4 linked regions of the Alligator mississippiensis genome follow. The protein of the gene in region 2 binds, or shares a complex with, the protein of the main gene of each other region. Links are inferred from orthologs where the notes say so. Each region holds a gene or a part of one and is shown on either strand. Other genes may lie near its edges. The genes, in order: THOC6, THOC2, THOC5 and THOC3.

The links.
Region 1: THOC2 (region 2) and THOC6 share a complex: the UniProt entries of both Homo sapiens proteins name them as parts of the transcription/export (TREX) complex. The link is inferred for Alligator mississippiensis from reciprocal best matches to the Homo sapiens genes THOC2 and THOC6.
Region 3: THOC2 (region 2) and THOC5 share a complex: the UniProt entries of both Homo sapiens proteins name them as parts of the transcription/export (TREX) complex. The link is inferred for Alligator mississippiensis from reciprocal best matches to the Homo sapiens genes THOC2 and THOC5.
Region 4: the proteins of THOC2 (region 2) and THOC3 are in contact, whole or in part, in a cryo-EM structure (PDB 7ZNL), measured with the Homo sapiens proteins. The link is inferred for Alligator mississippiensis from reciprocal best matches to the Homo sapiens genes THOC2 and THOC3. Residues at the interface, in NP_001075019.1 of Homo sapiens: Tyr395, Arg396, Pro401, Lys402, Gly403, Ala404, Lys405, Gly406, Ser407, Pro446, Ile447, Ala450, Arg454, Cys500, Asn501, Ala502, Cys503, Met504, Glu506, Pro563, Arg566, Gln567, Lys570, His573, Tyr603, Leu604, Thr605; in NP_115737.1 of Homo sapiens: Asp193, Met196, Ile208, Val217, Gln218, Asn221, Ala222, Pro224, Ser225, Ala244, Asp245, Ala246, Leu247, Ser249, Trp251, Asp252, Asp254, Glu255, Leu256, Val257, Cys258, Val259, Cys261, Ser263, Leu265, Asp266, Pro268.

Annotation. Positions count from the first base shown.
Region 1 is NC_081830.1:644,667-652,312, reverse strand, and holds the start of THOC6 (THO complex subunit 6 homolog), read left to right. Parts: upstream 1-4,646; 5' UTR 4,647-4,724; intron 4,725-4,928; 5' UTR 4,929-5,029; coding exon 5,030-5,044; intron 5,045-5,329; coding exon 5,330-5,445; intron 5,446-5,518; coding exon 5,519-5,583; intron 5,584-5,723; coding exon 5,724-5,827; intron 5,828-5,901; coding exon 5,902-5,939; intron 5,940-6,050; coding exon 6,051-6,099; intron 6,100-6,193; coding exon 6,194-6,265; intron 6,266-6,993; coding exon 6,994-7,096; intron 7,097-7,182; coding exon 7,183-7,232; intron 7,233-7,329; coding exon 7,330-7,392; intron 7,393-7,646. Other genes in the region: BICDL2 (BICD family-like cargo adapter 2), read left to right, coding at 353-514, 1,035-1,118, 1,251-1,381, 1,688-1,808, 1,969-2,103; HCFC1R1 (host cell factor C1 regulator 1), read right to left, coding at 2,726-2,831, 2,930-2,998, 3,865-3,996, 4,087-4,262. UniProt on the Homo sapiens protein: Component of the THO subcomplex of the TREX complex which is thought to couple mRNA transcription, processing and nuclear export, and which specifically associates with spliced mRNA and not with unspliced pre-mRNA.
Region 2 is NC_081831.1:71,266,936-71,274,871, reverse strand, and holds the start of THOC2 (THO complex subunit 2), read right to left. Parts: upstream 3,001-7,936; 5' UTR 2,964-3,000; coding exon 2,893-2,963; intron 1-2,892. UniProt on the Homo sapiens protein: Component of the THO subcomplex of the TREX complex which is thought to couple mRNA transcription, processing and nuclear export, and which specifically associates with spliced mRNA and not with unspliced pre-mRNA.
Region 3 is NC_081833.1:26,651,350-26,659,106, reverse strand, and holds the start of THOC5 (THO complex subunit 5 homolog), read left to right. Parts: upstream 1-4,757; 5' UTR 4,758-4,851; intron 4,852-4,978; coding exon 4,979-5,074; intron 5,075-6,012; coding exon 6,013-6,156; intron 6,157-7,286; coding exon 7,287-7,400; intron 7,401-7,757. Other genes in the region: NIPSNAP1 (protein NipSnap homolog 1), read left to right, coding at 1-38, 453-517. UniProt on the Homo sapiens protein: Component of the THO subcomplex of the TREX complex which is thought to couple mRNA transcription, processing and nuclear export, and which specifically associates with spliced mRNA and not with unspliced pre-mRNA.
Region 4 is NC_081832.1:79,133,505-79,141,492, reverse strand, and holds the start of THOC3 (THO complex subunit 3), read left to right. Parts: upstream 1-4,988; 5' UTR 4,989-5,377; coding exon 5,378-5,560; intron 5,561-5,902; coding exon 5,903-6,059; intron 6,060-6,764; coding exon 6,765-6,969; intron 6,970-7,258; coding exon 7,259-7,420; intron 7,421-7,509; coding exon 7,510-7,610; intron 7,611-7,988. Other genes in the region: SIMC1 (SUMO-interacting motif-containing protein 1), read right to left, coding at 162-290, 767-946, 1,244-1,389, 1,583-1,655, 2,120-2,337, 2,450-3,013, 3,568-3,783. UniProt on the Homo sapiens protein: Component of the THO subcomplex of the TREX complex which is thought to couple mRNA transcription, processing and nuclear export, and which specifically associates with spliced mRNA and not with unspliced pre-mRNA.

The sequences.
Region 1 (7,646 bases), on a different chromosome or scaffold from region 2:
CTGTGGTTGTGAAACTTAGAACCCAATGCCCTTGATCTGGGTAGCAGCCAAAGGGCATCAGCCTTCATGGACCTAGAACATATGCCTTATGGGGGTTAAACAGAGATTATCTGGGAAACCATTAGCCTTCAGGAACCTAGAACCCACCTGTCCTGAGGTTGAACACAGGTGACTTGATGTCTGTTGGGACTGGAGAACCTAGAACCCACTCCCTTTTGTCTCGGTAGCCATCAAAAAGTCATTATGCCTTGACCTACAACCCACCCATTCTGGGGTGGAATACAGGTTACTTGGGGTCTGGTGCCCTGAAGGAACCTAGAACCCACCCCCTCTACCTTGACCCTCCCCATAGGCTGAATCATTGAGGGCAGAGGCGGAGGAGCTGCGTGGGGCAAACCGACGGCTCCGGCGCCGAATCCGGGCTGTCTCCGAGGAGCTGCAGTTCCAGTCAGCCGATAATGGCGTCTCCCTGAAGGCCGAGCTGGAGGGGACCCAGGGCCCCGAGCATCCCAAGGTGCAGGGACAAGGCCAAGGGTGGGGTTTGGGACCTAGAACCTGACCACCATTGGGTCTTTTAGCCTTGTGCGACCCAGAACCTTCTGCCCATCGGGTTTTTGGCCAGGAAAGACCTAACATCCTCTCACCATTGGCTCTTTAGGTGTTGATGGAACCCATTTGCCATTGGGCCTTTAGGCCTTGGTGAACCTAGAACCCCCCCAAATTGGGGTTTCTGAGTCTTGAAGAGCCTAGAACCCGTCAAGGATTGAGTTTTCTAAGCTTTGAGGGACCTAGAACCCACCCACCGCTGGGTCCTTTAGCCTCAAGGGACCTAGAACACTCCCACCATTGGGCCTTTAGGCTTTGAGGGACCTAGAACCCACCTACCCAGAGTCACCTGGCCTTGATGTACCTAGAACCCACCCAGCCAACCTTGTCCTTTGGCTCAGCCAATGTTGGGAGGGTTTTGGCCTCCATCAGGCCAATCCCACGAGGCCGCCAGGTTCTAGCCCCGCCCCCTCGCTGTACCCCCACAGGCTCCGGCACGGGACAGGTCTGAGGCGCTGCCCCAGGATGCACTGGAGGAGAAGGAAGTGGAGATCGAGCGGCTCCAAGATGAGGTGGGGGGGGTGTGGGGAAGGTAGGCGGTGTCATGGACATCTGGGTGGGGGGAACAGGGCCAGGAGGGGGAGGGTAAGACTGGCCCTGGCCCCACCCCCGCCCCTGGCTGACTCCACCTCCTCCCGTCCCAGCTGGCTGTGCAGCAGGGGGTGCTGCAGGCGGTACGGGAGGAGCTGGGGGCACAGCGGCGCCTCCTGCAGGAGAGGGACGGGGATGCGGCACTGAGGCAGGCACTGGCCCAACGCAACACTGCCATCGACAGGTCTGGCCCCGCCCCCCACAGACACCTGGTTCTCTGGGGTGGGACTAGTGGTTTGGGAGCCAGACAGCTGGGTTTTCCGTGGTGGGAGCAGGGGGGCTGGGAGCCTGGACACGTGGGTTCTCTGCAGTGCACGTAGGAGAACTAGGGGGTTTGGGAGCCTGGACACCCAGGTTCTTTAGGGTGGGGAGTGCGAGCAGGGGGGGCTGGGAGGCCAGATGCCTGGGTTCTCTGGGAAATGGGGGGGGGGACTAGGGGATTTAGGAGCCCAGACACCTGTGTTCCCCACCCTCTTCGCCTCCCCCACAGGCAGGGGGTGCTGGCGGAGACGCTGGAGCGGGTGACGCGGGAGCGCGATGCCCTGAGCCGCCAGGTCCTGGCTGCCGCCCACCAGAAGTGGGCGCTGTCCCGGGAGCTGGAGGCCTGGCAGGTAAATCGTGCGTGTCCCGCGGGCCTTTCCTGGGGGTCTCAGGGGCACCCGGAGGCCTGGGCTACCTCCCCAGGCAGGAGGGGGGCACCCTTAGGTGGGGCATGGGGAAGGGGGGGCTTGGATGCCTGGGTCCCCACCCACTGTGGCCCCTCCCCCCCAGGACGACATGCAGTTTGTGATTCACCGGCAGCTCCAGGCCCAGTGGCAGCAGGAGGCCGGGGCCCCGCCCCCTGTGCGCCGCGGCAACAGCGCCCCCCATGGCGGCCACTTCCTGTCCTTCTTCCGTCGCAGCTGACAGGCCAGGGAGCCGATAGGAGCCGGGAGCTGGGGCGCTGAAGGTTCACTTCGGCCTAACCCGTGGGCTCACTGCCCTCACTCTAGGCCTGGCTTTGGCCTGCCAGTGCCTCTGGGTCTCTTTCCCATACCAATGTTCTAGGTCCACCATGGGTTCTAGGTCACTCAATGCCCACTCTAGGCCTGGCTTTGGCTTCAGTGCCTGTACGCTAGGCCTGGGTTTGGCCTACCACACTCTCCCTCCCGTAAGCCTCTGGGTCGCATCTCTCTCTTGGTGGCTCACTATGATGTTCTAGGTGTTTCTACCATGGGTTCTAGGTCACTCAAGGCTCACTCTATACTTGGCTTTGGCCTATGTCTCACCTACAAGCCCCTCCCTCTGCTCCTGGGCCGGACGCCTGGGTTCCCTGGGAGGGGAGTGGGGCCTGGGTTCCCTCCCGTGTACATGCTCTGTGCCTCCGTTTCCCTCAATTCAATTAAAACCATCTTTATTCCCAATTTGCGCCCATTTCTCCTCCCCACCCCCCACCCCCAAGGCCTCCGATTGGCTAACATAATTTCCCCCATGCCATGCCCGATGCTGTACATACCCCCCCACCTCCACAGCACTGTCTGGAGGAAGCTCACAGCGCTGTAGCTTTGGGGGTCAAAGCCCCGGCCTGGAGCAGGGCCCAGATGCCGCGGGGGTCCTGGCTGCTGGGGGGGCTCCATAGCACCGCCTCTGTGGTCCTGTGGGGGGGGGGGAGCAGGGCAGCAGATTAGGAGGTTCTGGGGCAGTAAGGGGGGAGAGGGGTAATTAAACCCTCCAGCTGGAGGTAGGTACTCACAGGGCCATGGGGAACTCCCCGTCTAGGATCACAGTCTCCTCTTCCTCCTCCAGGGTGGCATCCTGGGGCCTGGAGTGGGGGGGGAGATGCGGCTGAGTCTGGTGTGTCATGGCCAAGCGTAATGAACAGAGACCTCTTCTCCCAGCCCCGGTATGCGAGATGCAGCTGAGTCTGGGGCGTGATGGCCAAGTGGAATGAATGGGGATCTAGCTCCCCCTCTTCCTCTACAGGATGCAGCTGAGTCTGGGGTGTAACAGCCCAGGAGAACAAACAGAGATCTGCCCTCACTCTAGCTATAGGCTGAGTCGGGCATAACCGCCACGAGGAACAACTAGAGAACTCTTTTCCTAACCCCTCTCCCCCCACTACGTGAGATGCAGCTGCAGCTGGGGTGTGACAGCCAAGTGGAACGAATGGGGATCGAGCTTCCCCTCCTCTTCCTCTTTAGGATGCAAATAAGTCTGGGGTGTAATGGCCCAGGGGAACAAACAGAGATCTCCCCTCACCCAATGGAAATGGGATGCAACTCAGTCTGGGGTGTAACAGCCAAGTGGACAGATAGGAATCTACCACCCCCTCCCCTTTTTGTATAGGATGTGGCTGAGTCTGGGGTGGCATGGCCCAGGGGAACGAATAAAGATCTTCCTTCCCTCACCCTATGTAAATGAGGTGCAGTTGAGTCTGGCGTGAAGCGGCCAAATGGAACAGAGAACTCTTTCCCTGCCCCCCCCTCCCCCCATGACATGCAGCTGAGTCTGGAGACTAACAGCCCAGGTGAATGGAGATCTCCCTTCTCCCTACGTATATGGGATGCGGCTGTGCCTGGGGTGTGACAGCCGAGCGGAACAAAGGGGCATCTCTGTCCTGCCCCGTGCCCCCTTCCCCCCGCCCTGTGATGCAGCTGAGTCTGGGGCAACACCTGGGGGGCCTCTCACCCACGCGGCAGGGGGCGGGGCCAGCGGGACGGGAAGCCGTTGCTGCCGTAGGCGTGGTCGTGGTCCAGGCTGAGGGTGTTGAAGCGAGCGGCCATCTTGTCCTCCGACAGGAAGTGCTTCCGGGTTGGCTCCCTGTGGTGACAAAGGCGGGAGGGCAGGTGAAGGCTCCCAGCATGCTTCGCTCCCGCCTTCCCACAGTGCCTTGCTCCCCCCCATACTCACGGCTCCTGCTTCTCGAGGCGCCGCTTGCAGGCCAGGGCAGCAGGGCGGGGCGTGGGTCGGCGGGGCAGTGCCGCGGCGGAGAAGCTCACCACCACTGGGGCCCGCCCCGCCCAGGGCATGCGGGCGGGGACTTCCTGGCTCCAGCAGCGGGGTTGGGGCAGGGCCGGGGGGTCCATCGGGGGGGCATTACCTGATTGGAGGAGGGAAAAGAGAGTCAGGCCAAGGAACTCCCATCATGCATTGTGGTTGGGGCGCCTCTGGAGCTGAATCATGCCAACTCCTGACTTCCCATGATGCCCTGGGGCCACTCAGGCCAAGCCCAGGCGCTCCCATGAACCCCCGGGGCTGAGCCACACCAACTGGAAGCTTCCCATGATGCCCTGGGGCAGTTCAGACCAAGCCTAAGCCCTCCCATGATCCTCTGGCTGGAGAGAGAATGAAGTGCAGGGGTGCTGAGGACAAAAGGGGTGTGGCCAAGTGACAAGGGGCAGGGCCTACCGCAGAGCACAGAGCGAGCATGCGCAGAACAGTCGGGCAGCAGGTGAAGTTCCGTTCTGCGCGTGCGCAGAGGCGAAGGCAGGTGGTGGAAAAGGAGGGGGAACCACTCCCGCCGGGCTCATGCGCAGAGCCCCGGGACCGTGAGCCTGCTCGCGGGGGGGGATGACAGTTGGGCTCGCGGGAAGTGGCGGGGAGGCGGGGCGCATGCGCACTGGGCACTCGCGGGTCTTATTTCGTGCTGTCGGGGCCTGAAGCCGGGAGGGGTGAGGTGGGGCCTTACCGGGTTCCGTTCCCCACGCTGCGCCTCCAGGGTCCCCCCCTTCTTCCCTTCCTTCTGACGTCAGGGTCGCGCGGCCTGCTGGGAGTAGGCGAAGGGGGAGGGGACCCAATCTGGCGCCGGCGTCGCGCGGATAACGTCATAGAGGCGCGACGCGGCGGCACGCTTATGGCGCCCCAGGAGGTGAGCGACAAAGAGCGTGGGGGCGCCCGGGGCGGCTCCCAGCATGCACCGCGCGGGTCCTGCCAAGCCCTGGGAGGTGTGAACCCAGCATGCACCCTCCCAGCATGCTTTGCTCCCTGTCCTGCCAACCCTGGGGTCTCCCAGCATGCCTTGTGCCCCCCCCATGCCAACCTGAGGCTTTCCCAGCCTCCCTTGCTCCGCACCTGGCCAGCCCGGGCATCTCCCAGCATGCCTAGCTCCCCTCCTCCCTCCCCCGCCTTCCCATCATGCCGTGCTGCCCCCCAGATGGACGTCCAGCGGGCCTTGGAGCTGCTCCACATGAGCGTCTTCTCCCAGAGCGTCTCGCCCTGCGGGAAGTACCTGGCAGCCGGCAACAGCTACGGGGAGATCGGCATCTTCAGGTACCCCAACCTGCCCCCAGCCCGCCCCGCGGGCACGCCCCCCAGCTCCCCTAACTGCCCTGTGCCCCCCCAGCCTGTCGGCGGCGCTGAGCGCGGAGGCCAAAGAGGAGAGCAAGAAGCCGGTGGTGTGTTTCACAGGTGGGTGTGAGGGGAGCGGCTCCCCACAATGCCCCGGGGCTGCTCACGCCAACCCGGCTCCTCCCCACAATGCCCCGGGGCTGCTTGTGCCAACCTGGGCCTTCCCACAATGCCCTGGGCCTGCCCCTCCCGCCCCGCAGCCCACGATGGTCCCGTCTACGCGCTGACCTCCACGGACCGGCAGCTCCTCAGCGCCAGCGACGGGGAACTCAAGGCCTGGAACTGGGCGGAGATCGTTAAGAAGGTAAGCCCCGCCCCTAGCCCCGCCCCTGATGCCCGGGTCCCCTGCGCTTCATCCCCCTCCACGTGTCCCCCCAGGGCTGCAAGGAAGCATGGAGCCGCCGGCCCCCTTATAGGTAAGCCCCACCCCAAGTGGGAGCGGCTTCACATTGGCCAGTGGGAAGAGAGCAAGAGGGCATGGCCTCCCCATGTGGCCACACCCCTTCTTTCCCCACATTTGCTTCCAGGAGTAGCCTGGAGGTGCCTGAAATCAACAGCCTGCAGTTGAACCTCAAGGTGAGTGTGGCCCTGGGCATTGTGGGATAGCCAGGGGGAGGGGCTAGCCTCCAAGCCCCGCCCCCTCCTGCCTGTGTCTCCTCTTCTCCAACAGGATAACAGCCTTCTGCTGGCTGGGGGCGACTGCACCGTGCACGCCATGGACCTGGAGACAGGGGTCTTCACCGTGAGTGGGGGCAGGGCTCTCGGCCATCCGTTCATCCCTCCGTCCATCCCCACAGACCTCCGTCCATCGCTAGGCCTTTCCCTCTTTCTGTGCGCGTGTCTACTGTTGGACTTCTTTGTTCATATCACCATACTTCTCCGTCCATCCATCCTTTCGTCTGTCACTAGAGTCCTGCATCTCCAGACTCATCCATCCCGCACTACACCCTCCCCATTCCATCTACTTGCTTGCCACCCGGCTTCATCCATCCGCCCATCACTGGCCTCCTCCATCTGTTCGCTGTTCGTCCATCCAGTCTGTCACTAGATCTCTCTATTCATTCCTGTCTCCATCCGCTCACCACTAGACTTTTCCATCCATTTCTTCGTGCGTTCATCGCTGGATTTCTCCGTCTGTCCTTCCATCCCTCACTAGACCCTCTCCATCTGTCCACCCATCCGCATATCACCAGACTTCTTCATCCCTCTTTCCTTCTTTCCACCCATCGCTAATCTTGTCTGTTTGTCCGTTCTTCATCTCTCCCCGTATACGTTCGCCTCTACATTTATCTGTCGCTAGATCTCCCCATCCATCCATCCATAGGCTCTCCCATCTGTTTCTTCATCTATCTGTCATTACATTTCTCCACCAATCCATCTGTAACTAGACTCATCCATCCACCCCTAGACCCACCTATCCATCCATCCCTAGATCCCGTCCCGCTCACCCGCTCTCCCCCACCTTCCCAGCATGCCCTGCGGGGCCACACCGACTACATCCACTGCCTGGCACTGAGGGACCAGTTCCACGAGTGCCTCTCGGGCAGCGAGGACGGGTCTGTCCGTCACTGGGGTAAGTCCCGCCCCTTTCCCCACCCCTGCCCCGCCTTTGCTGAGACCCTGCAGGGCTCGTGACACCCACTCCCCACCACCCCGCAGATCTCCGCACCGGGGGGCAGGTACAAGCCATCGAGGTGCACAAGTATGAGGTGAGAACCCAGACATCCGGGCTGCCAGCACCCCTGCTGGGGAACCCAGGTGTCCAGGCTCTGACCTGGCCTTCTCTGCCTCTTCCCCCACCCCCAGGAGTGCAGCCGGCCCCAGTATGGGAAGTGGATCCGTTGCCTGGCGACAGACTCCGATTGGATGGTGAGAGGGCAGGGGAGACCTTTGGAGCGAGGGTATCCCATAGTGCCTTGGGTTTAGCTGTGGTGGCCAAAGCAGGGTATCCCAGAATGCTTTGCTTGCAAGCATGGCTGCCTACAGTGATATACCCTAACAAGGTTGGGCAAGGTACCCCATAACGTCCTAGGACCCAGGCATGGCTGACTGCGGGAATATTCCACAATGCCTTGGGTCCCCATCATGGCTGATCACTGGAATATCCCACAGTGTCTTGCTAC
Region 2 (7,936 bases):
ACGCTAAATAGCGACAATCCACAGATACGTCCAGAATTGTTATCATCAGTTACCTGATGTCAGTGCTAAAGTTAATATTACTTTTCTTTAAAATATACAAAATTTATAGGTGATTATATAGTTCAAAACAGTTTACAGGTGCTGCATTTTGGAGCGTATTAGAACGCTCCATTGTCACATTTGGCATTTTTGCTTATCAAAACAAGTTAAAAACAAAAGTTTTTGTAGCTGTAGAAGCTAAGATAATGTTATAAGAGCCATCAACATATAAGTTCTAGATCTAGAGCATAACAGATCCCTACCCTTTTATTCAATGTTATATATGAGAAAGCACCAACCCCCACTCAGTTTCAAAGAATAACTAACTGACTACTACCTCCTTGCTAGAAGTTATGGAAAGCAAGCAAAGAGACAGAATCAACAAGAAGTGGTCACAGTCAAAACACTAAGCAAGACGAACTGTTCACCCTGCTTCAGTTTAGCAATTAAGGTCACCAATTTACAGCATATGAAGTAACATATTTAGATAACTAATAACTTCACTAACATACCATTTCAAACTGATTTTGTCAGACTTCATATGCTACCCTACAGACAAGCAATTAAAATTGTCCTGTCTACCCTCAGCTTTTCTTCCTGTTGACCAACTCTTGGTCATCTTGTTCATTTCTGGTTTTTCGTTAAGTAAAGGCTGATATTTTGCATTTCTTGTGAGAGGTCTCATCATGTTTAAATACAGAATTCCAAACTGCTTGGAAACTAAAAGCCTCCTCTTAAAAAAATAAACTAAAGATCTGTCACTTAACTTTACCTGCTAGAATTGTAAGGTTAATCCTTGTTATACCTCTCTCTTTTTCCTACCGTTACACAATTTAATTTAATTCAGTCAGTGGTTCCCGAATGTTTTGAACCATCATATTGACCCTCAAAATTTCACATGCCATCCACCCTTTACGAGCAAACTTTTAACTGAAAAGAGAGCAAAAGCAGTGCAGTGCAATTTAGGAGCCTTAAATTTAAGCTGCAAGCTCTTTTAAAGCTGAAATCATGTCTTCAAATAGAAATAAAATAGAACTGCATTTGGAAAACTGATTGAGTTACTAATCCTTCATCTCTAGTATTATTTTATTTTGGAGTGTCAACACATTCAATAATTAATTTTGTTAGCAGAGGTGGTAAATCAGTGTTTCAAAATGATAGCAGTTTCTGAAATCACTTGGTAAAGACTTTAAACAAAACCAGACTTTTTCATTGTTCACTGAATCTTCACAAATATTTGATTGTCTTTTTTCACTTTAAAAAAAGTTTTACACACGTTTAAAACACTGGATGAAACTATGTTGTACAACCTCATTACCCAAGCACACAGATAATCAGAGATCACTTTCAGTTTAAGGGGTCTTTTTTAAAGGAGTCCTTAAACACAGTTGCCAAACAAAATTTAAACACAGTTTAAACGCTGTCCCAGTTAAACTGGTATATCATCGTGAATGGACCAAAATCTTGTATACATGTTATCTGCAAGTACCAAGGGTTAGGTTAGAGTACATTTTAAAAAGTTAAGACAAACTAGTGTGTGTTAAACAAATGGCCTACAATTTGAGCTCTTCAGTAGGCAAAGGCCGGGCTAACCTGATCTCTTCAACAGCAACTGCTGAAAATTCAACTGATGCACAATCTTAAAATAATTATAATGAAGATATGATCACGTCAAGTCAGTTAGCTCAATATCGAGTCATATGAAACAGCTCCTAACTCAAATGGATGACTTAAAGCAGCAGTTCCCAATGTGTGGTACATAGCAGACAACCCGTCAGCGGTACATGTTAACAGATGTACTATAATTACTTCATATTTTAACATGCATTTTTTATATATGGTACGCATTAAGAGATGTACTATAATTACTTCATATTTTAACATGCATTTTTTATATATGGTACGCATTAAGAGATGTACTATAATTACTTCATATTTACTTCATATTATAACATGCGTTTTTATCTATATGGTACGCATTAAGAGATGTACTATAATTATATCATAATATGTATTTTATAGAAATACGACGAAACTTTGCTTGTGGTACTTAAGGTCGAACTGAAAAATGTGCTGGGTGGTACTTAAGGTTGTATTGTTTTAAATCGGTGGTGTGCTGTCAGAGTTTGGGAACAGCAGATTTAAAGTGTAAGTATATCTACATCTACGCTTTTTATGCAACCAGGTGGGCTATACCCATTCGTAAGCATCTCTCTATCCACTTTTCTCCTCCACCGACAGCAGAACATAAGCGATCTGTAACAAAAGGGCCGCAAACCTATCTACCCCAGGACATAATCCGGCTCAATCTGATTATGAATTCAGCTGTCAAGACGTAATCCAAAACAGGGGAAGCTAAAAAGTAATTTGAACTTTAGCGTCGCTTTAGACTCCGAGTGCTGCCAGAGACCTACGATTTCTCCCTCGTCTAGTTTTTTGGTCTCCCCAAAACAAAAAAAGTTTGGACGGGACCAGGACTCGCACAATGCAGGGACCTGACGACCAGGCTACTCCTCCCCCCTCCAAAATGGAGGCAGGGCGAGCCAGCCGCGCCCCCTTCCCCTCACCTGGGGGGCAGGCGGGGGCGGGCAGAGAAGCAAGCCGGGGGCGAGGGGGAAGGGGGGCAAGGGGCTTCCTAAAAAGAGCCGCGCGCGTTTGGCCGCGAGCGTCTGGTCCGGGTGGTGACACCAGGGGGCTGCTCAGAAACACAATGAAACGCAGCTGCGATATCCGGGCGCCCCCGCCCCGCGCAGCTCCGCTGGCCTCGGCACAAGGGCAGAGGCCGCTGCCGGGGAGGGGCGGAGAGGAGCCGGGGAGCCCGGCCGCGCAGGGGAGGCAGCGGCCCGCACTCACAACTCGCTCTTGCCCGCTTTCTCCCAGTTCTTTATCCAGTCGGCAGGGAGCGCCGCCGCCGCCGCCGCCATCTTCCCCGTGTGGCGCCGAGAGCCCGGATGGGCAGCGACGGCCGGGGTCAGAGGCCGGCCGCGGGGCACGCCGGGAAGCGCGCGCGGGGCACGCCGGGAGCCGCCGCTCCCGCCTCCCCGCCAATGCCGCGGGTTCGAGCCCCGCGCTCGTGCCGTGGTGTTCCCGCCTCCGAAGTGCGGCCGAGATGCGAGTGACGGCGGCGTCTTTTCAGTTGGATGCTATGATCTTTCCAGCGGGGGGAGGGGGGATTTTTCTTCAAGAGGAAAAATAGAGGCGTCCGGTTTCTCTTGACGAGAAAAGCAGAGTTTGTACAGGCGTCCGGTTTCGGATCAACGGACTAGCTTGACGGCCGCCCGGGCTTGTCGTGACCCGTGGTGGCCTAGGCTCGCGGGCTGCTTGACCAGGATGGCGGCTCTGGCCAGAGGCCCCCTGGGGACGGGGGGGCGTTTTCTTGTCCCTGGTCAGCTCCAGCCGGTTTCCCCGGGCCGCGTCCGCCGGCTCCTCGGGGTCGCTTGCAAGGTGGCCGGCGTGCGCCTTCCCACTGCCCAGCCCTTCGGGGCACCCCTTCTGAGCCATCGACCTCCTTCCCCTCCCTCTTTTGTCTGTTCATCCCATTCATTCAATTAACACTACCCAATAGCCCCCCTACTAATGGGGAAGGTTAATTAGCCCATGGGCGACTGGTGCCACCTTAGTTAGGGGGCAAGTGCCCCCCCAGGGACCAGTCAGCAATGGGGGGGAGTCCTCCCACGGCCAATCTCACCAATGGGGGGGTCCCCCACGGCCGATCACACTGACCAGGAAGCGGCCACAGCGCTCCCACTCCCGAGCTGGCGCCCGCAGGGGGAGCACCAACGCTCCCGCCTGCCCCGCTTGCCTGTCACCTACACCGAGAGTGCAGCCGGTCAGGGGATGCACCCCTACACATCGCCACCGGATTAACCGCTGCTGTGTGGGCCCGTGTTCCCAATCGAATGACTTGCGGCAACCCCCACTTCACACTTTCGCTTAGTGCTATTTCACTATAATGTTCATTTTAAATTGATACCTGATTTCACTTAGCACTCAGTGAGTTTCGTTATAATGCTCACGGTCACCATCTCGGGTCATTAAAAACAATTGTGGTCGTGGGTCATCAAATACGTTCGGTTTCGCTTAACGCTTGGTTTTTCGGGAACCAATAAACAGCGCTAAGCGGAGGTTGCCTGTAATGACTGTTTTGCAAATTATAAAGACTCATGGTGGAAGTCCTGTTGCAAACGTAGCGCCCTGAAGGACAAGACAAGATCTGAGCATTAAACAATAAACTTTTAGCTTTGTTTTTTTGAGGTTTGATTTTTAAATCTCAGTCACTCCCAGGGAAAACACATGGAAGTGGTAAATATTAATCAGCAATGTTGCCTGTGCTTCTCTTTATTGCACTAGGAGCTCTTTGCATTCCTTACATGTGCTGTCACTGCTGATTTTAGATATGACTTGCCAAAAATAGGATTGGTCATGTACGCCATTGATTTGTGCCTGAAAAATTAGAAATCAATTTGGTGAACAGAAAAAACGTCACTTTCAGATTTTTTCAGCTGCATTTTACAAAAGTGTCCTGAAGTTGACAGTAATGCTGAACATTAGGAAATTCTTGTTTATGCAAAACTTGTCAATTATTTATTACTAGTGGATGTGCCAGTTTTTTAAAAAGCTGAACTAAATGCATACATTTCAAGCTTATTTTTATGTGGCCACTTTCATGATTTCTTACACAATTCTTTTTCTAATGCAGTATAACCTATGTACTTTCACTGAAATCCTTGCACAATCATGGAACGATGACCTGACTGGAATAACAGAGACTTGGTGGAAGCGCGCATGACTGGAGCACTGTCACGAATGGGTACAAACCGTTCAGGAAGGACAGGCAGGGGAGAAGAGGAGGAGGAGTTGCGTTTTGTATAAAAGAACTGTATGATTTCTCAGAGCTCCGGTATGAAACTGAAGTTAGGCCTGTTGAAAGTCTCTGGGTTAGGGACAGAAGGAAGAGCAACAAGGATGATGTCACGTTGGGTATCTGCTATAGATCACCTGACAAGGAGGATGAAATGCATGAGACTTGCTTCAAACAGCTAGCGGAAGTTTCCCAATCACAGACCCTGGTTCTTATGGGGGACTTCAATTACTCCGACACCTGCTGGGAGTGCGTACAGCAGTGCGCAGGCAATTCAGGAAGTTTTTGGAGAGTGTTGAGGACAATATCCAGGTGCAAGTGCAGAAGAGGCCAACTAGGGGCTATGCTCTTCTTGACCTACTGCTCACAAACACAGAAAAATTGGTGAGGGATGTAGAAGTAAATGTCAATTTGGGCAGCAGCAACCACGAGATGACTGAGTTGAGGATCCTGAGGAAAGGAAGGAAGGAGATTAGCAGTGTATGGACCCTGGACTTCAAAAAAGCAGACTTTGACTCACTTCAGGAACTAATGGGCAGGATCCCTGGGAGGCCAGTCTGATGGGGAAAGGAGTCCAAGAGAGTTGGTTGTACTTTAAAGAAACCTGAAGGAACCCAATGCGCAGGAAGGACTAGCAAGCATGGCAAAAGAACAGCTTGGCTTAGCAGGGAACTCTTCAGTGAGCTAAAACACAAAAAGAAAGCTTACAAGGAGTGGGAACTTGGACAAACAACTAGGGAGGAGTATAAGAGTATTGCTTGGGTATGCAAGGATGAAAACAGGAAGGCCAACGTGCAATTGGAGTTGCAGCTAGCAAGGGACGTGAAGGGTAACAAGAAGGGTTTCTACAAGTATGTCAGCAACAAGAGGAAGATCAGGGAAACTGTGGGTCCCTTAATGACTGAGGCAGATGATGTGGAAAAGGCTGAAGTACTTAATATCTTTTTTACCTCTGTCTTTATAGACAAGATCAGCTCCCAGACTGCTGCACCTGGTAACAAAGTTTGAGGAGAAGGTGAGCACCCAACAGTGGTGAAAGAACAAGTTAGGGACTAATCAGAAAAGCTGGACTTGTACAAGACCATGGGGCTGGACGCGATGCACACAAGGGTGCCGAGGGAGCTGGTTGATACGATTGTAGAGCCACTGGCCATCATCTTAGAAAACTCATGATGATTGGGAGAGGTCCCAGACAATTAAAAGAAGGCAAATATAGTACCCATCTTTAAGAAAGGGCAGAAGGAGAATCTGGGGAACTACAGACCAGTCAGCCTCACCTCAGTCCATGGGCGCCTGGTGCCTTCTGAGTTGGGGGGGCACTTACCACCCCCAGTGGACAGTCAGCAATCGGGGGGGAGGGGTCCCTTGCTGCCAAACGGGGGAGGGTTTCTCCTGTGGCCAGAACAAGTGAAAAGGGCAAACCGCACTTTAAAAATTGGCTCTAAGAAAAGTAGTAAGCCAACAAGACAAAGATTGACAAAGATTAGGGCTTTGCAACAAAAACAACAGTTGCCCATGAAATCACTCCCTACTAAGCCATGACTGGCAGAAAAAAATGCAGATGCCCAAGCTTTAAAGGTAAAATGTAATCAGATGGACAGACAATTTGGGCCACTTGAAAACCTGTCAAATGGAAAGTTGGTGCCCTGGTCATGTACCAGGCTTACTGGGGGAAAAAACCATGTATTGTGCTCCATCAGGGCTGGACCTGCCATAATTGTAAATAAGGCTAGTCCTACTGTATATCAAATTAAAATACAGTCAAAGAGAAAGGAAATCAAATTGAAATGGGTCCACACATCACAATCAAAGGCTTGAAAACGGGGCAAAACCCTAATAATTATAACCAGATGTTAAGTGAGGCATCTGCCCTGGCAGTTTCTTAATTTTGTTTTGCAGGCTAAAATGCATTTCCCATGTAACATTACACAAAAGGAAAAATCCATGGCCTTCCAACAATTGAGTTAGTAAAATGCTTGTTATACTGTGCAAAGGGGAAAAAAACAAAAAAACCCCTGGGCAAGATGTGTTAGTAAGTACAGGTGCTTCTTTTCCTATAAGTAATGAGACCTCCCCTTTCCAATTCTGGAAGGCAAATATAGTATTAAAGGATTCAATGAGAAGGAAACCAAAATGCCTTTACCAAACCAAGACATTTATTTTTACAGGGAAGCAAAAAATAATTAATCTACATGTAATTCTTCAGGGGCAACAGTGTGCAGCCTTTAAAATAAATCAGGTTTTGGAGTTGCCTTGGGACTGAACAGGGGATGTTAAAAAATGTTAGCCAGCCAGCACCCAAAGGGGTAGGCTAAAAATAAGCTGAAATGTGGGAACAGTTGCCCGATCAATACTAAACTGCAGTTATACCCTATGTAGATGATGTTTTAATTCATGGACCCATGCAAGAATTTATGAAGTCATCTGTGCACTATTATAAATTATTCAAGATACAGGATTTAAAGTTAACAGACAAAAAACCTCAACTAGTACAGCAGGGGGTAATATATTCAGGAATCAATGGCACGGTCGAACTCCAGGTGCCTAGTGGGTAGAAGTGATTGAAAAATTGCCAGCTCCCACATTCATTAAGGGCTGCTGGTACCCTAGCTATAAGCTATCTAGCCTATCATTGGATGTTTGGGATAAAAAATGGCAAAAAGTAAAATTATTAAATGGCTAGCTTTAATTGAAGGCTACAATAACTTCCCTATCAAAGGGGGGAGCTCTTTGTTTTATGTTTCTTTATAGGAAGGCTGATGAACTGTGAGGCCTCGAAACCAACCCTGAGGAGGGAATCGGGAAGCAGGGCTTAATGAGCGCAGCCGCAAACCGATCAATTACCGGCAGGGAGCGGCAGCGTGAGAAAAGAAGAAGAGAAAACCAGGGAAAGTCTCAGTAACATGAGGGAGGCTGAGCACAGGCAATACTGACCAGCCCCAGCCAAACCTGGAAGGGTAACCAAAAAAGAGTTGCCCGGGGTTTTACGCTGGCAACAGTGCAAAGAGACTGTAGCTGCACTAGCTAATGAGTTAA
Region 3 (7,757 bases), on a different chromosome or scaffold from region 2:
GAGGAAACGGGGCTGGGATGAGAATGTGTATTACACAGGTGGGCCTTGTTCTTTTGCGTAGCTGGTGGTGGGCGCCAAGTAGCCACAAGTTTTAACTCCCACATCCCTGGGCCAAAGCCAGTTTCCAGCTAGGATCAGAAAGCAATTCTGTGGTTCAGAATTTATACCTTCCTATGAAGTGTTAAGCATTAACTGCTCTTTGCCAGAGATCGGGTACTCAGTTGATGTGACAGCCACTACCACCTCTGTAATCAGCACTGTTCTTCATCTCCTGGCAGAGACTGGGACCAGAGTGAATGTGTCGCATATAAATGATTTTTCAGTGCCTGCTAGTGGGACAGACTGGAATAGCTCTGAGCTCACTAGTTACTTGTGGGTAGTTGGTAGAAAATGCCCTGTGCCCAGGGCTGTCATGTACATTGATAGTTGCTTTTTGTGATTTTTTTTTTCAGTGCCCCTTGTTCGGAACATGGAGTCTCGAATCATGATTCCCCTGAAGATCTCTCCCCTCCAGTGACCCTCCACCCTGCCCCTGCGTGTTCTCCCTCCAGCACTGGATTCAAATGGACAAGAGCACATGGCCTGTTGGGATCTCTCTGCACTTCTCCTAAAGGAGCAGGCTTCTCTCTTCCTCTTGGCACTACCTATCCCCTTAGTCCATACACCTGCCTGGTCTTGGGGCTTGGTTGCATTACAAACTCTGCTGGTAGATAGCAGCCACCAGAGCATGTTCTCACCCATGCAGCTTCATGTGACTACATATAGCTCCATGGCAGCAGCTGTGCCAGCAGGACACCCAGAGTACCCTGGGCAGGATCAGTTGTTAACAGGGCTGCAGCAGATGACAAAGTGCAGACAACTCTACACCCACTTCCTGACAACTTTCCTGTGGTAGCAGTTGCTTGCCTTTGGTTGCAGAGCTAATGACTCCTGCCATCACAGGAGAGCTAGGAGTGTGGATGCACTCATGGCTCTTCCAGGAGAGCTGCAATGTAGTCCAGGCCTTGGGCTGCTTCTGTCTGCTGGGAGCTGTGGGTCATGCTAGCACATGGCTGCACGTTGCTCCCCAGCTCTGGGTCCCCAGCTGTGAACAAATGAATGTTCTGGAGCCCAAATTCCCCTTTTGCAGATAGAAATGAGCATAGCTGATCTATGCCACCTGCAGAAGGCATGATATGGATACCCAGCTGCTCTCTGGGTGAAGAGACTGGGTTCAGTCCTTCTGCCCAACCCTCCAGCAAGTCATTCCACCCCACCCCCTTCCACCACAGAGAGGGAATAATCTCTTCCTTGCCTCTGGGAGTGATCCTCTATCATGCTTCCTCTTTGTGTCTGCCACCATGACTTTCCACCCTTGGCTAGCCTGCTGCAGGCAAGAAGCCTGCCCCCGAGCAAGATACCCTGGCATTCTGCTCTGGTGGAAGCATGGGCAAGCTTGTATGGGGAGAAGGAATCTCTCCTGTCTAATGATGAGGCCATCCGTCCCCTTGAGCTATCTCCTTCATCTGCAGAGCAGGTGTAGGTTGAAAAGATTCTCTGGAAATGATGCTGTATTCTACATCCAACCCTAATTCTCAGTGGCTCCTAGACTTAATAGACGGACCTTAACAGTACATATATTTCTATCCTGCTACTCAGCCTCAGCCTGATTCTAACTAAGAAGGGAGGGGGTGCTGGAATACTTAATTTTCCCCCTTCTGCCTTCCTAAGGTGCTGAACACACCTTTTTATGAGCTCAAGGGGAGCTGGGAGTGCTAGACACCCACCAGAATCAAGCCTTTAATTCAGGAATTAAAATGAAGCAGAGTTCCTCTTCCCCTCATATCATCCATGCAGCTGATCAGAGATTAGCTAACATTAGCACCTGCCTCCCAGAACTGCATAAGCTCAGTAGAAATGAAAGATACAAGCTGGGCTGTGTCAGCAGAACTGACTCTGGCTGGAAAAGACAAAGCACGAACCTGAAAGGAACATGTGGTGTTGATAGCCAGTAGTAACAATAATTGTGTAACTTGGACTAATGGTATTCAACCACAAAGCAGTAAAAAATTCATTTGCATTGGAAATGAAAGCCCCTGAATGCCTGCCTGCCAGTGCTGCATCTTCCACTGGACTGCAGTGGAGGTGAATTTGAGGGTCTGTATCTCAGTGCAATCACTGGTACTGGGAGCAAATGCCCTTGCTCCCTGGGCATTTATATGTCTATGTGAGTGAGCAAGGGGAGTTGGAACACATGGAGAGGCAGCTGTCATTCAAGAGGCGCCTATCAGACAGATGTCAGTTCCTCTAGCACGTTTATGGTAATTGCAACTAATGGGCAAGTTACGGGCATTTATTTTGTGTCAAGCATTTTCCTGGAAGGAACTTGTACAAGTCTAATTGCAAATGTAATTAAATATTTAATATGCTAACATCAGTCTTGCATTTGGAAGGAGTCTCATGTACCTCTGTTGGGTGGGGCCTTTCAGGCCTTTATCAGTTTGCTCTACAGGTTCAGTTATGGCAGCTGGTAGAATCCAGACTTGGCTTGTCTTTATTACCAAGAAGTAACAAGATCAGCTCAAACAACTTCTTAGGCCCCCAGCATGACTGCCGTCTCTACAAGAGTGTGTTACACGTTACAGGTAACCTTGCAGGCTGGTTACTGATATAAGAGACAGAAACAGGTCTACAGCTGACCTTTTATTTGCTTTTACTTCAAAATACAAAAACAAACATTTAACCCAAAGTCTATTTGGTCACCTGTGACTCTAGAGGTGGGAGGGCAGCACACAGATTGGCAGCAGGTCTTGAATGTGCTGAGTTCTCTATATTTCCCTCCAGCCTAGACCCCCATATTTACTTACCTGGCAGGGGAAATACCATGAGCACTAAGGTGGCAGGGGACAGTACCCTGACCAAGCAGCTGCCTTAGAAATGGCTTTGTGTAGTGGAGGGTGAACCCTTGTCTGCTTGCAGATGGGACTCCCTACGAGAGCCTCATAGTTAGCTTCCCACTGGCCAGCTTCCAGTGGGAGGATCTCGGCTACACGACAACTTTATGGAAATGGGAAACTCCACCCTAGCTTGCTCCTACAGCCATATGGCTGAGGGCAAACTAAACTTGGGGGCATCCGAACCCCAAGTCCGGGCTTGGGCCTGCATGTAGGACGCCTACCAAAGGATTTGGAAGTTTCTGAAGCCCCAGGCTGGAGTGGAGGATATTTGCCAGTAGCAGGGCCACATACAGTTTCTGGATGATTCAAAAGGATTGAACGTGATCTGGCTAATTTGACCTCAGACACGAATAATTTTCCTTTAAAAAAAAAAGTGTGTGTGTGTGTGTAGATGGCTGGATCTAATATTGCAAAAAATGACCTTTGATTTGGTTTTAAATCTGTTTTACTGAAACTTTGGAACTGAACTGAACCAGATCTCTTGTGGACTTGGAAGTGCCAACTGGGATTCATATCCTTGGGAAAGTAAAAGATGGGGTTTCTTACCTCTTTCCTTCCCCATTATGGAATGGTGTTCAACACTATTCCGTTTTTACTTCAGCTTATAGTCTCCTCTGACAATGCTGTTTTGTTTTTACAAATTATCTAAGCACCTTAACAAAAATATATCTATTATAGCAAAATAGCATCTAATACATTTGGTTACATCAATCACTACTACTACTATTTTAAGATAAAGCTATGATACTATATGTGGATTATTTAATTCATGGTCTTCCCTTATAACCTCTCTTTTCAGGCCTCGTGCTTTGTTTCATTGATGTTGATGGTTTCCTTTTACTTTGCTGACCAAGCTAGTTGTCATAGCTGAAAAGGTTTACGTTAGTCCCACAGAAAACAGGGTTTGGGGACTTCTGCTTAGCCCCAGTTCTGCAGCTTGGCCTAAGCCCCTGAAAACTGGCAACCAGACCCTACTACCTGTGTGGGCTTCAGGTGAAGGCCCCAGTCCAGGTACCAGCTCCCCCAGAGCCAACGCTGGACAGGCATGAGACCAGGTGTGCTCAACACCCAGTACATGGAGCAGTGCTGTGTGCTCATGAGACAACACTAGCTTTTAGTGACGGGCCATTACTGGAGGAGGCGTGATTGCTTAGGGACAGGAAGAGGTAAGGCCCAGGGAGACCGAGCTGGGCAGCAGGAATTTCAAAGGATAAGACTTGTTGCAAGAGGGGCAGGGCAATGGGCAGCCCTGGGGAATGGCTGCTGGTGTTGCCCTTCTCCATACCCCGCCAGGCACAGGCCAGCAGTGTCAAGCATGAGAAGATGGTGGCCCAGCTGGCAGCAGTGTTGCCCCAGATGCCTCAATCCGACTTCTGAGCAAAGATGCCAGCAGTTGGCAAGGTGGGGGGAGGAGGCCTTGCCCAGTAGGGTCATCTGCCAGGTTGAGAGTGGGAAGGGCCCGCGTCCTGCCCCTTCCTTCACTCCCGGACGTGCTGAGGGGAGCAAAGCCTCATAGTTGCAGTGGACGGAGGCATTAGGCCCATTTCACAGACAGGCAAGCTGAGGCCCTGGGGGCGGAGGCGAAGCCAGGGCGAACCCAGCAGCCCCACACCCTTTGGGGGGCACGGGGGTGACGGGAGGCAGCTCACCGGGCCTCCCCCAGCGCTGCGCGGGGCTGCGGGAGCTCGCGGCCGTGTGCCCGTGCCCGGCGCTAGGACCCCGCGCTGAAGGGGCCTGGCCCAGACGCGGGCGATCGCGGCGCGGGCGGTGACGCTCCCCAGGGGAGACCGCGTCGGCGCAGGGTAGTAGGGGGCGCTCCCTCCTTCAACTGCCGGCTGCCCGGGCGGCCGCTCTAGCGTGTGCCTCGTCTGCTCCTGCACAGCCACTTCCGGTTGGAGCGGTGGCCGGGACGCAGGTGAGCGCGCTGCGGCGCCGCCCCTCCCCCCTTCCCCGCCGGCCGTGGAGCCGCACTCCGCCGGGGCCCGGTGCGTGGGGGCGGGGCTCGGTGAGCGGCGGCCGCTGACGCTTCCTCCCGCCCGCAGATGTCGTCGGACTCGAGTAAGAAGCGGAAGCCCAAGGTGATCCGCACGGACGGCGCCGCGCCCGACGGCAAGCGCAGCAAGGCGGACGCCGAGCAGGTACTGCGGGGCGGGGCCTCTCCGCCCCCAGCACGTCGGATCCGGGCCAGCCTGCGGCCCCTGCGCCGGGACGAGCAGCCTGAGCTTGCTTGGGTGCGGGGTGACCGGCCCTTTGCCGCGGGGCAGGGGCTGCCGCACTGCAGCTGGTGCTGGGAGCGGCCTTGGCGGGGCAGTAGCAGGCATCTGTCGGTTTTGAAAAGCAGTGGGGTTGCGCGGAGCGGGGCACCAGCTTGCTGGACGTGGCGGGGCCCTGCTCTGGAGTGACTGCCGCTTGCACCACGTACAGAGTTCAGTTCGTATCAAACCCTCCTGGATGCGGTGCTGGGTCTTCCTGATGCACTTGCCATCTTCAGCTTGTCAGCCCTTCCCCTCCAAAGCCTTTGTTTTGTGCTGGGCAGACTGTGCCTTTTACCTGCCAAAGGAGACTGGACACACTCCTTGCTGGGGTGGTTTGAGCCCAGCAGTCTTTCCTGCCCAGAGCGGGACCCGATGATCTCACGAGGTCCCTTCCAGCCCTAAACTTCTGTGAATCTATGTCCAGGCAGTTCAGTCCTCAGCAGTCTTCTCACAGTTGTTTGACTCTGTTTGTTGCTTTCATATCTCTCTGGCAAGCATCTCTGAACCTTTTACAAATGTTTTATTTGTTGCTCTTCTCTTCCCTTCCCTCCCCTCTTCCTTAGTTGTTTGATTGCCTAACTAGGACCTGTGCAGATCAGATGCTAATTTTAATGGGATTATGGGTGAGGCATGGATTTGCCAGGCTTGGATCTCCCGTGGAGTTTGCAGCACTAGCGGTTGGGTCACTGGTGCATAAAGCATTTGGATTCTGGAGTGGATGGAGTGAGGCTAAACATAAGGCCCACAATGTGATTTCTGCAGGACTCTTTCTGAGAAGGGAAGGGAATCCAGTTGAAACCTATTTTCTTGCTGTTTTACAGGATGTTAAGTACTATAGTGAAGAGACAGAGGTGGATCTAAGAGACCCTGGCAAAGACTATGAACTCTACAAGCAAACTTGCGAGGAGCTTCAGAGGCTCATGGCAGAAATCCAGGATCTGAAGAGTAAAGGCAGCAAAGACAGTGTAAGGAGAGACCTCTGGAGTACTGTGCTGGTGAAATGCTTGCTCACAACAAAACACTAAAATGGAAAGATTGAATAATTCATTGTAGTTAGGACAGAAAGTTTTAACCATATGAATCCAGCACTGTTTACTGCTCTCTGATGCTTTGAATTCCTGTGTAAAACAAATAGGTGCATTTTGCTCTGGTTCCTCCTAGACAGGGAATATCCCAGGTGGCTGACTGCTTCTGTTTGTGGCAATGCGGCTAGGAAGGCGGTATGAAGGCTGCAGGCCCCTTGTGCTCCCCTCATGTGGTAACTACCCATGTTGTGCCTGTTCTGATTCTTGTCCTAAATATAGCAACAGCTGTTAACCTGACAACAGAAAGGAGGTGCAAAAGTCACTGAGTGATATCTGTGATTGTAGGCAGTTGCAATGGAGTCACTTGTCCCAGATTTTATTCCATAGGATATTTATACCTTATTAAGTAGTGGACACATGACCAGGTCTCCCAGGTTAGTAGGTATGATTACGCTGTCAGTCACTAAGTGGCTCAGGTCAAATTAGAGCAAATGCTACCTTGCAATGAAATTGAGAACTGGAGAAGTGTGTGTAGTTTCCTACAGACACACACAGCTCTTGTAACTTGCATCAGTTACCCCTTGGAAAGTGAGGAATAACTTTTCCACACAGTAGTGTGACTTACGATGGTGTAAGGTTGTGTGTCTACATCTGGCCTTCAGGGAATCTTAGACCAACCTGTTTTATTGAACTAGAGTGTAAAACTGTCTCTGAATTAGGGATTCAATTACTGAAAGCTCTCATTAAAGCAGCACCCAGGGCCCTCTAGTGGGACTGAGTTCTGTCTTACATGCATGGAGAATTGTGGACTAAGGAATGGACACAATGAGGAGGACCTCTATTTATTTCTAACACTTGAACATTGAGACTGGGAAGGAGAGGGGGCCTGGCAGAAGCTCAGGGGATTGTTACCAGTGTTTTTCCTGTAAGATTCATCTCTGTAGCTCCCTGCTTGCTTTAGGTTCTTCTAACTAGCACAATAACCAACTAGCTCTGCAGTGGCTAGTTACTTACAAGAGCTGCTAGCAAGGAACTTTGTCCACATCAGACTCCCCGCTCTTGCCCTTCAGGCTGCTGAGATTGAGGAGCGGCGGATCCAGAGCTGTGTGCATTTCATGACTCTGAAGAAACTCAACCGTTTGGCTCACATCCGGCTGAAGAAGGGGAGAGATCAAACCCATGAGGTATGCTGAAGGCCACAGGCTGTGAAAGAAATGCAGAAGTGGATGGTGAAATGCTCAAGGAATATGGGTAATCCCTGCCTCTCAGGGATTGTGTGTGTGGGTGGATGAGTGGGTGATGGTGGTCATCATTGCCCAGTATCTTGCCAAAAGCTGGACTAGATTTAGTGGTCCTTGAGTTAGGCATACAAGGGAATTCCATTTCAGTGAATCGGGTGCTCTCATAACTACAGTGAATTGCAGAGAAACCGCACCTTCTTCATATCCTGAATGCAATTAAAGTCAAGAGGCTGCTATCTTGACAGCCTGATGTACAATAGTTCTGAGAAAATAGTAAAACCTGGCTCTTACAGGGCTTTT
Region 4 (7,988 bases), on a different chromosome or scaffold from region 2:
GGGAAGAGGAGGCTGCAGGCAGCTCTGAACCTGGGCATGCTTATCCCTCTGCTGTTGTGCAGGTCAGCATCACCCCCCCGGTGCCACTGGCCCCTTCCCCTGCCCCACCCGTCGCTGGGCCAGCCTCGCTGGGAGTGGTGTGGGGGCCGGGCAGCGCTCACCTCTGGCTCCGCAGTGGGATGTTCAGCACAGAGGGGAAGATGGCGTCAGCGATCTTGCGGGCGCTGCAGTTGGGTGAGCGGTCCACCTCCACCGCGATGGACAGCAGCCGCTGCAGCAGTAGCACCACCCTACACCAGGGATGTCAGTCAGGCGGGCAGGGAGGGGCAGCTGTGGGGTCCTGTGCCCCCCTCCCCTAGAGCCTGGGGGTGAAGCCGACACTACCCTGACCTGCATTGGCTGCGGGGGGCACGGCCCAGCATCCAGGAGCCTCGGCTCTGTCCTGTGAGAAGCCGCTGCCGTGCCTGGCACCGCTGGAGGTACAACCAGGGCCTGAGGGCTGGGGGAGACCCTTCCTGCTTGGAGGGGAGGCTCAGATGAGCTTGTGCCCTCCCTGCCCTGGGCTGCCAGCCACAACTGACCCCCAGCCACACTGGGTTCCCCTCTGGGGCTGGGCAGGCTCCCCGCTGCACCAGGGCCCCTTCTGTCTGGGGGCGGGGGCTGCAGTGTCCGTAAAGATAACAGCCCCTGGGGCAGCCTGAGATGCCTCCAAGCTCCCACCGGCGTAACACCCCCACCCCAAAGAGCCCAGCCTGCCCCATCTTACTTCTCAGCCAGGAACTCCGGCGGGACATCCTCCCTCGGCTCCGTGGGGCTCGGCGTGGGTGAGCGGCTGCTGTGCTGGAGCCCGGAGGCACCCGAGGCGGGAGGCGCTGCGTTCTGCTGCTCCAGGGGTCTGCAGAATCCGACGCCGGTGACGGCAGCCACCAGCCACCCGATCACCTCCCTGCGGGGGCACGGCTCAGAGCGATTTGTAGGTGGCCACATGGGCTGCTCCTGTGAGCTGGGGGTCCAGCGCTGTGTGGGTTCCCCCATGCCCAGCAGTGCCCTGCCAAGCAGCTGCTTGGATAACCTGCTCTGGCTGGCCTGCAAGGCATGTCTTCCAGCTGGGTTGTGGTTGATTTCTCCCCCCCACTCCGAACTCCTGTGTAGGGATCCCTGCACCCCAAGCTCTCGCTCTCGGCCCGCAGGAGGTGCCGGCCTATGCTTGCAGCACCCAGCCCAGTGCGTGGGGGCTCCTTACTTGATGTTGCCGAAGCTCTGGTCGCAGGACAGCACCTGCTTGGCGATGGTCAAGGAGGGGCGCTGCAGCCGCAGGCCCAGCTGGACATCGTCCTCCAGTGTCTGCACCACGTACTGCAGGAACAGCAGGCGCCCGGGAGGCTTCTCCTGAGGGGGATGGGACAGTGGGATTGGGGGCCTGCCCAGGGCACCAGCGTGGCTGCACCCCGCCGCCCTGCCCTGCCCCGCCCCGCCCCGTGGATGCAGGACGCAGCCACGCTCTGCCTGTCCTCCCGCCGGCCAGCTGCTTCCCCTCCCCAGCAAGAGCCCAGCCCTGGAGGGAAGGGATGCTGGGCCCTACCTCGTCTTCCATGATGTGTCTGAGTAGCCGCCAGTCCCAGCCCATGCCCGTCGTGGTGCTGGCCGGATGGAGCCTAAAGCAGAGGGTGAGTCCGTGACGGCCCCGAGCTGCGTGGGGGAGCACAGAGCTACCTCTGCGCCTGCCCCCTCTCTGCTTCCCTGGGGCTGTGCAGATGGCCTGGCTGTGGGAGGGCATGGATGCTGCCAGCTCCTGACGCAGCAGAGCCTTGGAAATACTCTTCCCCGAACAGGGCTGCAGCACAGGCTCGAGGCAGCTGCAGCGTCTCTTCCCCCAACGGCAGCCCCTTTCGGGGAGCCCGGACGGCCCCATCCCGGACCCTGGTGCCGGACGTATACCTAGGCTCTGCCTACACACGTGGTTGCTGGACGGGACTCCTGGCCATTGGAGCCCCCTTGCTGCTGGCTCCTATTGCCAATGGCCTGGGGGCCCCTGCTAAGGACACCTCCCTTCCCTGGGAGCGGCAAGTGCCGGGGGCTCCTGGACCAGCCGGGAGCCGAGGGCAGCAATGTCACATACGTCTGGATCTTCATGAGCAGCGTGTAGGCATCCTTGAGGATCCCCCAGCGGTGCGGGCCCAGCAGGATCTCCTGGACCAGGTGGGCCGTGATCTTGCAGGGCGGGTAGTGCTGGGGCGTCACGAAGTCAGTCAGGAACTGCAGCGTGCCCTCAGGGAAGCTCTCCTCCATCGTGGTCTGCACCAGGTCCAGCTTCCGGCTCGGGATGGGCCACGTCCTCTGCCGGGACAGCGAGCCCTTGGTGTGGGGCAGGGAGCGGGGTGGGAATGGGGATAAGGGCAGCCGGGGATGGAGAGAACCCGGATCCTGGACACCCCCCCCCCCCCATTACCTCCTGGCAGCGCTCGGCCCTGGCCACGCGCAGGAGGTGGTGCACGGGCATCCTCCGGAAGTACCGCAGCTTGTGCAGGCAGCTGGGGTCGGCCAGGCGCGGGGCGGGGGGCGCCGCGGGCTCCTGCTTCACGGCTGCCAGCGCGGGCGGGCTCGCTTCCAGCCGCGGCCGCTTCCTGGAGGGGCTCTTTGAGGTGGTAGCGGGGAGGGAGCGGGGGGGCGGGGAGCCGGGGTCCACGGATGCCCCCCAGCTGTCGCTGCTGGAGGGGGAGAGGGAGAAGCGGTTGGACTCGAGCAGGGGGCTGGCCAGGGAGCCCAGGTCGCTGTTGAAGGTGGTGGGGCTGCAGTCCGAGTCCGTGGAGCAGGCAGCTGTCTTCGCTTCATCCTTGGCGGCGGTGGAGAAGCCGGGCAGGGCCTCGGTCTCCATCCCGGCAGGTGGCGTCTGCACGGGGGCGCGCGCTGGGCTGGGCGGCTCCTCGTCTTCCCCGGTCAGGTCGATGACAACACTTCCGCCGCACGCTGCGGCCCCGCCGCACGCGTCCTCGCCCGTCAGGTCGATGATCTCCTGGGGAGGGAACGGGGTCAGTCGGGGCGGGGGGCCGCACGCCGCGCCCCCGCAGGGTCCTCCCGCCGGCTCGTGCCCAGGCTCTGTCCAACCCGCCCGTCCGCGCTGCTGCCACCTGCCTCGGCGCGGCGCCGGAGCCGGCTGTGCTGAGGGGTCGCGGCCTCGCCGCCCGCTGGAATCCCCGACGTTTGAAAGTGGCTTCAGAACCGAGGCGCCAACCGCCTTCCGCGGCCGCGCCCTGTCCCCGTCCCTGCAGCACGGCGTGGTGCGGCCGTCCCCAGCGCCCCCGGCCCCAGCCCGGTCGTGCCCCGCAGGGGCGGCACCGGCACCAGCGCCCGCGCCCCGCCCCCGAGCCTCGCACCTGCCGGGCAGCGCGCACGCACGTGCCGACGGGCAGCGCTGCCGCCAGGGGGCGCCGCAGCCGCGCACTACGCGGGGCCTGGCCCCTCGCGGCCCCCGTCGGAAGCGCCGCCATCTTTAGGACTGGCACACTTCCTGGGGCGCGGCTGAGAGGCCACCGCGGCCGCCGCCGCCGTGCCCGGACCGGGACTCACCGAGGGGCGCGGGCGCCGCAGCCGCCGCCGCCGGGCCCAGAGCCGCTTGCTGCGGCGCAGCGGGGCGCGGCCGCCCTCCGAGTCCGAGTCGCTGAGCAGGACGGGGCCTTCCGCCATCCCCGCACGCCCCGCGCCCGCGCCCAGGCCGCGCAGTCGAGCGCCGAGCGCGTCCTCCGCCGGGCACCGCCCCCCCGGCACAGCCCCCGCCCCCGGCATCGCCGCACCGCCGGGGGGTGGGAAAAGAGAGTATTTGGGAAGGAAAGGGAAATTTGAGGGGTGTTTGGGGGGAAGGGGGAGTTTCGGGGGTGTTTGGGGTAAAGGAGTTTGGAAGGGAGTTGGGGGGAAAGGGGGTGTTTGGGGGCAAACGGGGAGTTTGGGGGGAGTTTGGCGGGGGGAGGAGGGTGTTTGGGGGGAAAAGGGGAGTTTGAGGGTGTTTGTGGGGGGAGGGGGGTGTTTGGGGCGGGGGTCTCAGCGGGCCCTGTGGAAGAGCCCCTTGAAGCGAGGCTGGTGCCGGGCGGTGGGAGCGGGCTGCGGCGCCGCCCCGCTCGTGCGGCCTGAAGCAGCGGCGGGCTCGCGGGAGGGAGAGCGCAGGAGCTGCGGCAGCAGGACCCTGGCCCGGGCCCTCCGTGGATCTCCTCTACTGACCTCCTGGGCTGCCCGGGAGCCATCGGAGCGGTGCCGGCGGCTGCGCGCAGCCCCACCGAGCTGGCTGGTTGGTGGTGCAGGCCCCGCGCGGGGCTGCGCCCCCCCTCCGCCGCCAGCGCCGCGCCCCCCAGCACTAACCACAGCCCCTTCCTCGCGGGCCCTGCAGCAGCTGCAGGCAGAGGAAAGCGGCTGTAACCGCCTCGCACAGGAACAGCTCGGCTCGGGGCCAGGCCGCTCGTGGGCCCCCGCTCGCAGTGGGGAAGGGGCCTCGTGCCGCTCGGCGTGGCCCGGCCTACAATAACGCTCGTATCTTCACCCCGTGTGGACCTGCGATCAGTAATAATGAACGTGCTCAAAATGTGGGGTCATTTTTGGGACAGGTCGTTGACGTGGCACGTGCGAAACCCAAGCCGCTCGCGGGGGGTCTTAACCGACCTTTGGGTTTGCTGCCAGCCCTTTCTCAGGACCCCTTGCCTCGAAATAAAGAAATGCTTCAACTTTGACCCAGTTCGCACTGGCTCCTGGAGACCTCTATGAGCAGTGGGAAGTAAACTAGATTTATTTACATGCTTGTCCACCTGTTTGCTCAGTGAGGGTAGTTTTTCAGCAAATAGGATAATTTTGAGCTTCTGTATTTAAGGCCTGGCAACGCTGCTGCTCCTTCCTCCAGTGGCCGGGGGCCCTGGGGTGCGCGGCAGGCAGGGTGGGGGGTCCCTGCACCTAATCCCCATAGACATCCAGGGCACCCGCTGCAGCGCAGCCTCCCCCAGCGCCCCCAGGTCCGGCGGGGGGATCCGGACACTTCCCCCGTGCAGCCTGCGCGGCTCCCCGGGTCGGACGCTTGCAAGGAGGCAGACGAGGGTCTTTGGGTAGGTGTGAGATCTTTTATGAGTGCAATTAAATGGTTGGAAAAGTTGTTCTTGGCAAGCTTCCGGGCACACCCGCCCTTCTCGGGGCACGGGCATCGCGGGGAAGGAGCTTTTATTTCCTTGGGCTCTGCCGGGCGTCCCGTCCTCGAGCTGGGAGCCATGTGCGGGGCGGAACCGGAAGTCGCCGCACGACTCCCGCCATTTCCCTTGGAAGTGGGTAGTGGGCGACCCGGAAGCGGGCAGGTGGGCGGCGCCCCGGAAGCGGTGCGGGTGACCCGGAAGCGGTGGCGGCCGCCATGGCGCTGTCCCCGTACGTGCTGGCGATGCAGGAGCTGTTCCGCGCCAACACGCGCAGCCGCGAGTTCCCGGCGCACGGCGCCAAGGTGCACTCGGTGGCCTGGAGCTGCTGCGGCCGCCGCCTCGCGTCCGGCTCCTTCGACAAGACGGCCAGCGTCTTCGTGCTGGAGAAGGACCGGCTGGTGCGGGGTGCAAGGGCGGGGCGGGGGGTGCGATGCAATGCGTGATGCGGATGTTGGGGTGAGCGGTGCGGTTGGGTACGGGGGTGCTGGGGCGGGGGCGGGGCGGATCCTGGTGCAGGGATGGGGGAGATGGTCCTTTTTAAGCATCCCTCCGTGGTCAGCGATTTCTGAGGGTCTCTAACGGGCTGGGGTGTCTTGGCTGGACGCTGCTGGTTCGTGTTTGAGACGTTCGTTGGCAGTCGTTGCACGTGGCCAAGCGCCAGCCTCACGCCACGGTGAAGGAGCGTGGCTGACCTGGAGGCGCGGGCCTGGCTGATGCCCGGCGTGGTCACCTCCCTCTAGGTGAAGGAGAACAATTACCGCGGCCATGGGGACAGCGTGGATCAGCTGTGCTGGCACCCCAGCAACCCGGACCTCTTTGTCACTGCGTCGGGGGACAAGACCATCCGTATCTGGGACGTCCGCACCACCAAGTGCATCGCCACGGTGAACACCAAAGGTGGGGCGCGGTCGGAGCACGCCTCTGCGGGGCCCAGCGTGAAGCAGAAAGCTCTGCAGGACGCTGCTCCAGCCTGAGCCGGAGGGCGGCCAAACGCAATCAGTGCTCCAGGCCGTCTCTCCTCTCCTCCCCTCCCCTCGTGTTTATCTGCGCCGGGTGCTGGTCTTCCATGGGGCTGGGCCGGGTTGAGCTGCATGGGCGCTAGTCAAACGGCAGACTATTTAGCATTGTTGCTGCCCTCGCGTGGCTGTAGGCACCGGGGATCCACGCTGTGGGAGATGAGTCTCTATCATCTGCTCATGTTTCTGATGCAGCTTTTTTCCCATGGCTGAAGCATATACAGAGGGTATCCGCGTGCGTATGCCTAAACCCTGGAAAAATGTTGCGTATGCATTTTTTTTCTTGCAAATATCACGAAGCGCTAAGCAACGTGCCAGCATCCCCGTGGCTGTGCAGAGAGGGCCGGGCTGGGCTGGCTGAGCGCTCGGAAGTACTTATTGTGGGCACTTTGCTCTGAGGCCAGAGTTCTGTTGGATCTAGTTCCCGTGACACACTTACCAGGCAGCACTAAGCAGCAGTAGTGGGTTTGCAGTGTAAACTTGGCTTCGGCCACATGAGAGCAGTTCGGAGTTGGTAGGGCAGGCGTGAGGCCCCCTGCGCTGCCCTAGCTCCTGGTTGGACTTGCCGCACTCTCCTCCCTTCCAGGGGAGAACATCAACATCTGCTGGAGCCCCGACGGCCAGACCATAGCGGTGGGGAACAAGGACGACGTGGTCACCTTCATCGACGCCAAGACCCACCGCTCCAAGGCTGAGGAGCAGTTCAAGTTTGAGGTGAACGAGATCTCTTGGAACAATGACAACAACATGTTCTTCCTGACCAACGGCAACGGCTGCATCAACATCCTCAGGTATGGCCCTGGCACAGCTTCCACCTTCCCCGGTCACAGGTAGATCCTCTAGTGCCCCTCAGCAGGAGCCCTCGGGCTCGCTGTCCTTGCATGGTTCCCTCCCCTGCGGCTGTGGCATCCTCACTGAACGAGGGAGCCTGGTTCCTGGTGGTATTGACCCCCAGCTGCTCGAGCCTGTGTGGCCTCACTGTGCTGACCAGGGTGCCCCTCTGCAGGCAGCACTTGCTGGCCCGTCCCCTGGACTCTGGACCCTGCTCACTTAAGCTGTGTCTTCCCTATCTGTGCACAGCTACCCAGAGCTGAAGCCCATCCAGTCCATCAATGCCCATCCTTCTAACTGCATCTGCATCAAATTTGACCCCATGGGGAAGTACTTTGCCACAGGAAGCGCAGACGCTCTCGTCAGCCTGTGGGATGTGGACGAGCTGGTGTGTGTGAGGTGCTTTTCCAGGTAGGTGCCCAGGCCCTGTGCCCGCTCTCTGCCCTCCCAGTACAGAGGTGGGAGAGCCCTCACCCCCCGTCTCATCCCCTCCCCTGCAGGCTGGACTGGCCCGTGAGAACACTGAGCTTCAGCCACGATGGGAAGATGCTGGCATCTGCCTCTGAGGATCACTTCATTGACATAGCGGAAGTGGAGACGGGTGAGTGTTCTTGCTCCCTCGGCCCTCTGAGGTGGCTGGCTCTTGTCATGGCTTAGGGCAGTGGTTCTCAGCCTTGTTAGATTTAAAGCCCTGCTTGGAAAATGCCCGCTCTGAGCTTTTTGACCATAGACAAAACAGAAGAGCAATCCTTTTGGTGCAAAGACCAGAGCAGGGCAGAATGGTTTTGACACTGGTTGCTGTTTTGAAATCTCTGGGTTTATCTTGGGAATCGCGTGTGCGTATCTAGCAGTGCTAACATGGCATGGCACCCATAAAAAGATCTCAAGGCACCCCAGATTGCTGTGCCACTCTGGTTGAGAGTCACTGGCTTTGGAGACTGGGGGTAGGAGGGAGGGGATTGGCAGGGCTGGGGACTGG